Linked DNA regions of Arabidopsis thaliana. The protein of the gene in region 2 interacts with the protein of the main gene of each other region in a pairwise test. Each region holds a gene or a part of one and is shown on either strand. Other genes may lie near its edges.

Region 1 (3,858 bases), about 18 Mb from region 2:
AAACAGACTCACCATACAAATAATTTTACATATATTATTGATTTTTTTGGCTTATAATACTTTTAGTTTCTGAAATCAAAATTTATGGAAACAAAAGTATCTTCTTATTTATCAAAAAGTAAGTCACAACAGCCCAAAATATCTGTAGGCTAGAAACTGCATTAATTATTTTAGCATATCTGATAGTATGAGAATTGAGTGTATAGGGGGGGAAGATAGATGGACAAAACAGGATTCAAGTCCGAAAGAGTTGGGCTATGTTTTCTGCTGAATACACATTTCGACCCAATTAGTTAAAATAATTCATCCTTTTCGTTTTCTCTAGCTAATTAAGTTCCTACACATATCCTTCGAGAACAAAAATCTAACACACATGCATGTTAGCTGCTGAGTCATTTGGTAACACGGTTCACATACAAAAGGGCTTTTTGAGACAAAATATTTATAAATGAATGACTAATCATCATATGGAGATTTCATCATTAAGCAACTTAGATTCTTTGTAATCTAACCCCAGATATTTCTGAAATAGAAGATTTGTTAAGTTTTTTTTTATATAAATAAAATACAAAATTTATTGGGATAAACGTGTTTACATCAATTGCATCGTTTGTTTAAGTACATGAGTAAAATCAAGAATTTAGAATGGAAAGAAGAAATGTTTGTTATGTCGATCCGAACCAAGATTTGTTAAGTTAAGACCTCTTTATCATTCATCATACATATTTATGAAGAACACCGAACATGCAAAAGAAAACAAAACAAAACATAAAACTCAAAAAGAGAAAAAAGAGAGATTCGTTAATCTCTATTTGTACACCTAAAACTCAACACCAAAACTTGTAATTAAGACCAGCCACAAAAAAAGAACCATTCACTCACTGCACACCAGTCCAAGCTCAATCTTACACGTGTCCTCATCCTCAGACGTGCCACACCTCTCTAACTTTCTTTTCTTCATCGGTACCACCACGTGATTTCCACGTGCTAAAGGCTCCAACCCCAAAGTCAGCTCAAGCCCGATCCAAGTCTTTGGTTCCTCCGTCGTCGTCTCCTCAGAAGACACCGGTGACTCGTGACTCAGTGACGACTCATGACTCAAAGACCTCACGTTTCTCTCTTCCTTGCATGCACCACGGCTCCGTCTCTTAACGTTCTCGTCCCTGCTTGACACGTGTCTTATGTCGCAAAGCTTGTTGTTAAAAGGAGGTGCTTGACCAGTAACCGCTGCGTCGCATGCGATCGGAGTCACGGGTGAGCCTCTCATTACTGCCTCAACGGCCGCTTGACAAAGATGCCAGTTTCCTGACCACAATAACCCCACGGATCCGTATATCGGATTCACAATCCTCCCGCATGCTTCGTACAACAATGATCTAAATATCGCTGCAAAAACAAACAAAATTACCAAATTATTAGATGCATGTTAGAAAAATAAACAGGATCCTACGTTTCCTAAAAAGATGTATGAGAGATTCCGTCCAGAACTTCGCAATTAACCATAACAAACAAAAAACATAACATGCATGGGAAGTTTGAATACCAGGACGGAGGTGGTCAGGACCGGTGTTGAGGAGGTTCATGAGCCCCGCACGGCCATAAAACTTGGCGAGGAAGACGGTGGCGTTGGCTTGAGATTCAGCGGATTTGATCCATTGAAGACAAGGTCTTATGCTACAGTTTTCACTGCAGCCTTTTCGTAGAACTCGACATCCGTTACAACTCATACGCATTTTAGATGGGAAACAAAAAACAAAATGTGTTTTGGGTTTGAGGGAAAGTACAGAATGGTCCAGAGATCTTAGAAGAAGGAAGAGGTATTTAAGAGGGAGAAGCTGCTTGGGTTTGGTCGGAGAGATCATAACAATTAACAAGGAACGAAGTTGTCGTTTTCTTTGTGTGTAATTTTTTTCAAAAAATAAATAAATTTGTGACGTGCATGTTATATTTTTCTCTAAATGGATATCGTAATTTTCAAAGTATAAATAAGATGTAAAGAGCCCAAAAAAGAAGAGTTTTGTAATTGTTTTTATATTTTGTATGAATTATTTTAGTAAATTACGAGAATATTACCTTTATTTAGGTAAGTAATTTTTTCAAACTGTTATTATGTGTTTATAAAAATAAACAAAGCTTCTCATACTATTTGTATAGTTATAAAATTTTAAAATCTTTAATTTTCATGGTTTATACATTTTGTTTGTTTGTTTGTAGTTACTAATAATATATATTTTTTTTTTTGGGGAAAATAGTTACTAATAAATATGAAATATATATGGAAGCCCGTTGAGCTTTGTCTTTGGCTCTCATTCGTAGCGCGTGATCATCATCGACGAAAATGTCCAAAACCAGTCAAGTATTTTATTTTTTTGGTTAGTTGTTTATATCTGACCGCCGTTTGTTTTTGTCTAGACCGCAGTTTAATGTTCGGCAATTAATAATGGACTGCCAAAATATTTGGAGATAGTAAATTTTGAAAACGAAATTACTAGAGGGTAAAATGGTAAATAGAGAGATGAGAGGTTCGAATTTCAACGTTCGCATGCAAGCGCAAAAGTGTGATCGCGTGGCGGAGACATTGTGGTAACAGAGTTTGGTCGAATCGCCGCGTTTTCTGAGCGGTTACACATTATGTAGCTCCATACATAATTCTGATAATTAATATTAATATCCAAATACCTACTTAATAAATTATCTTAATGGAATCACTTTGACTTCTATAGGCTCTAGTATATATCAACATTAATATCGAAAGACCTACTAATAAATTATCTGCATGGATCACTTTGACTAATATAGGCTCTACAATTTTTACTTTTAGGTGAATAGATGCCAACGTTTATTGGTTAGATTTGGTAGTTTCTTCCATTGAAACACCCATCATTGAATGGTGATGTTTGAATTATTTCTATTACTTCTTTAATAAAATAAAGAAAAAAACGCACACACAATCTATTAATTATTATTAAGGTTTAGAAACAGTTAAAAATTAAAATTATAGAAAATATATAAATATCTATCAAAAATGTTAAAAATGTCAAATCGCAAACAAAGTTTAGATAAAATATTTATTTAAGTATATCAAACATTATATAAACATTTATAATTATTTATATAAAGATAAAACTTAGTTAAAAACTAGAAAAATACAGTAAAACAAAATATATATAATTTTAACGGATAAAACGATTTATTTTTTCTTCTGCCGGCTATCACACGATTAATACGATTGTCTCCACTTTAACTAATAATATAATCATGCGAACAATCATAACTATAGCTAGTAGACTCTATAGAGTCAATTTTTCTGAAAGACCAGTTACAGACGAATGTGAAAGCTATATATGCTATATGATATATACTAGTATGAAATAAATTTGTTGTCGTTTCAGGTAATTTAGAAGACCTGTATAAAGTTGTACAATAATTTTCTATATCAAATAACTTAACATATTGTAAGATAAACAATAAGTCAATAACCTAATTCCTATATGTATATATATTATGTTTTTGAAAAATTCAAATGGTATATATACATGTTTAGATAGACGTATGGATAAATACAGTTTCAACCAAATTATCATATTGCTATAGAAGTGATTGACAAACAGATATGATAATTCATTAAAATAAAAATGCATAGGTAAGAGGTAGAAAAATAGATGCATACAAAATATAAGCATACGAATAAAATTTTTTGTCGTCTTTCTTATTGTCGTCTTATAATAAACAAATAAATACAAATTCTCTTAATTGACAAATACGAAAATGGATATGTGCTAGCTGGAATAATACAATGATATAATCCTTTATAGAGATTTATCTGATACAGAATCGAACGTTAACTCTTCCTTTTGG
Region 2 (3,785 bases):
ACGGCCACCGATATTTTCGCCATCCTATCTCCGGCAAACTTTTTTGCTTCTTCTTCTTTTATTGGTTTATAAAAACAAGAATGATTTAATAACTAGAGGTAGCTCGTAAATTTGTCTTAAGCTTGTAAGAAACAAAAGTCTATTTGTTTACGTACGTGTTTTTCGTGTTTCGTTTGGTTTAATTTGAAGTTCCTTATTTATATGTGAAGGAGATTTAAAATTTGGTTTTATTTACTGGTGGAACGATCCAACGTTGGTAGTGGTTACGCCGAAAATAGTACGACGTGAGATGGCTTTAGTTTCATGCCAGTTCCAAATTAAGCAACAGTTTTATGGTTTTCGATTTCATTTTTTTTTTGGGTCCATATAGTGAATTGGTGATATTCGTTTCTTTTAAACTTTATTATAAATGCTTTATCTCTAAGAAATTTAAAACGTTATAAATGTATGCAATTACATGTGATGTTTAAGCTTTAGTTTATTTTATAAACAAAAGTGATTGTTAAAATATTTATCAAAGCTCTAGATCGAGATGCTAACCAGCTGATGATTGGTTGGAGGATTTTGCAGGGGAATATTCAAGTCTTTGCATTTGGGATTTCAATCATGGTACAATGTATACGTTTTTAATGGTAAAAATACTCTCATTTTCAACAAGTTTTGGAAATTGAGATTACGAAATGGAAATCAGTTGTTTTACTAGGTGGAATAGATGTGAACCAACTATACTGTATAATGATAAATCCCCGTCCATAGACAAATTAAAAAAATAAGAATTTGACAAAAATAGATTAGAATTATAAATAAACAAAACCAAAATAGCTAGATGATTTGTTGTGAAATAAGATTAAACAGAGCAAATAAGAAACACAATGAAAAGGGAATGATACACTCATCAGTATAAGAAAGAAGAAAACATATCCCTTTGAATCCTTAGACATATAGCAATCTTCACATCATGTAACAACTTCACTGGATTCTCATATTCTTCATTAACCTGTCAAAAAACAATAGATTAATTAATATAACTTGACACTAAGATACCACTTTTGTTGATCACCGACCAGTGAAAAATCAGAATCACTTTTGCATTAATATATACCGTTATATTTAATCGTATTCGAATAATATAGAATTAGCTAGATATATACATATATAACATTATATCATTCATATAAGATTCAAAAGTTGAGGACAATGTGCATGTGATGGTGCACAAACAGGATTAGATTTCATGTGACTCCTTTCCTTTTAATGAGAATGCCGGAAATAGAAGGGATGGTGCGTGTGGTTGCATGTTTCTTATTATTATACCTATATTATTATTATTATATAGTCCAACGTTCATCACTAGTTTTAATATACTACTACCAAAAGAACTCATTTATATAATCAGATTTTGAAATTATTTGAACTAAACATATGTTTCTACTAAATCACTATAGAAATCACAAAAACGACCACAAACTCTAAAAGATTTGGTAAGGACAAAAAGATTTCACCTCAAATCAAAATCATCGATGCCTCTAGATTTACTTCCAACATCGACGGTTTTGTATTTAGGCAAAGGTACTAAGTCTTGTTCGATGTTCATGAGATCTTCAACGAGGATGTCGTAGTGACGTTTAACTTCCTCTGCAGATTTACTTCCAACTGCTTTAGCCACGTTTTGCCAACGGTCGGGAGTGTCTTTATCGTAAACGGCTAAAGCCCTCTCGAACATCTTGTTTTGCTTAGACGTCCAAGAAGAGCTCGAGCTCATAGAACTAGAGGCCATTTTATTTAAATTCTTTTGGGAATATATGAGATATATATAGGGAAACAAGAAAAGAGAAAGAAAAGGGATCGATACTAAGTTACGAATACAAACGAATGCCAAAATAGGCTCCTTATATGGAGGAAAAGAGAGTTGAGAGATTCCGCAAGTTGTAGTGTTTATCCAATATTTTTTTAGTTTGTATACCAAAATAAAGAATTATAGTTCTTTTTATGGGTCTACATTTTTTAAGGTCCATAAGGGTTTTCAGAGCATAGTGTCGTATTGTATGAAGAATGTCGAGAAGTCAACCGTTAATTAACGCTCGTATGTGTTCTTATGAAGTTTAAAATTAGTAACCTCTTTAAATTATAGGGTTTAAGCGTTTAATGGTTATTTGTTGAGCCTATGACTTGCAGGGTACGTAGTAGAATCATCTTTGGTTTTAACATAATAACGTAAAGGAATCATTAAAAACTCAAAAGAAAAGTTAAAGACATTGGTATTCATAGAAAAAAAGAGTGGACAAACAAGATCCCGTCTTTTATACTCCAATGAATCAGATTCACCTTAGCTATAATGTAAGTACGTACAAAGTTGTGCTAAGACGATGAATTATGATAGTTTATTCACATACGAAATAGTTTTTGTTAAACTGGTAAAATGGTTTTATATAATCATCGTTTGATATGAAAAGAAAAAGAAAATTCCTTAATATCGAATTAATGGATTCGATATGTCATCTCCTGTACTAAACTTCATAGAGATTTTTCATAACTTTTATTTGTTATTAACTTATTATCGATTAATATACAATAATAATAATAATTTGAAGGAGATGGGATCGATACTCTTGGGCACTTTGTTTTAATTCTAATAACTTATCCCGTGTGATGGAGAAAAGTAAATTTGGACGACAACCATTTTGATAAGAGCCACTTAAATTTAGCTGAAAAAAGAATAATACCATAAGAGATATTATCGTCTTCTTTTGGGATAAAATTCCAATATCCCTATCTCTGCATTGATTCTCATTCATAGTTGTACATTTTTATCCAATCCTTTCTTGTTTTATGAAAATGAATTCATTTTAATAATTATAAGTTATAACAAATTATATGTTTTTTTTGTCAAAAATATAGTAAAGTGTATGTTTCATTATTTCTTTTTCTTAACAGAAATTATATATGTATAATTGATTCTGATAATTATACAAGAATTTGGAGATTCAGTGTGGTCTCATAGCATAATAATGTCTTTTTGCACCATTCCTCTATGGTGCAGCAAAAACACCACATAACGTTTATTGTGAAAAGTTTTAAGACACGTCGTACTACAATCTCTTCCAATATAAGTTAGAAGATTACACGACTCATCTAAATTATGTGGTTTTTACTCCATATTGACTAGAGTGAGAGTGATGACCACACCATTCACCATATCCTACTCTCTATAGGTTTTTGTTAGCTATGAGAGAAATAGTTTCGGTCACTATGGCAAATTTAATCCCGACATGAATGAATTATGATGTTTTGGTGAAGGACATTTTTGAGAACAACTAATTGAGTCTTCATAGATAATACATGATCCGAGTTTGGATATTGGATGCACGAGTTTTTGATGTAGTCACCTTTGTTATCACTCATTCTTACTCAAGTACTAGGTAATTTGTTTTTAGTTTTTAGTATTAGTTACTAGTTAGACCATTTTATTTTGTGTGGATTGTATATTACTATATTTGTATGTATCATTTTTGTGCTTACTATATCAAAGAATTGCCATGATTACCGCAACTATACGAAACCTTTATCTACTTCTGACTTAGAAACACTAGTTACAATTTGGAAAGAACGCAAACTTATTTAGAAAAATGCACTCACGCCGCCTAACTTTGACATACAGTAAAACCTCTATAAATTAATAATATTTGGACCAATAAAATTTATTAATTTAGAGAGGTATTAATTTATCGATAAATAAATAAAATTGTACAAATTTTGTAAATTCTTACAAAAATTCGATATAAAAT

The links.
Region 1: the proteins of RL5 (region 2) and LBD40 interact in a two-hybrid assay, tested with the Arabidopsis thaliana proteins (one large-scale study listed by BioGRID).

The regions. Positions count from the first base shown.
Region 1 is NC_003070.9:25,051,676-25,055,533, reverse strand, and holds LBD40 (LOB domain-containing protein 40), read right to left. Parts: upstream 1,862-3,858; 5' UTR 1,734-1,861; coding exon 1,544-1,733; intron 1,387-1,543; coding exon 875-1,386; 3' UTR 670-874; downstream 1-669.
Region 2 is NC_003070.9:6,755,514-6,759,298, forward strand, and holds RL5 (RAD-like 5), read right to left. Parts: upstream 1,908-3,785; 5' UTR 1,778-1,907; coding exon 1,503-1,777; intron 998-1,502; coding exon 970-997; 3' UTR 724-969; downstream 1-723. Other genes in the region: AT1G19500 (uncharacterized protein), read right to left, coding at 1-23.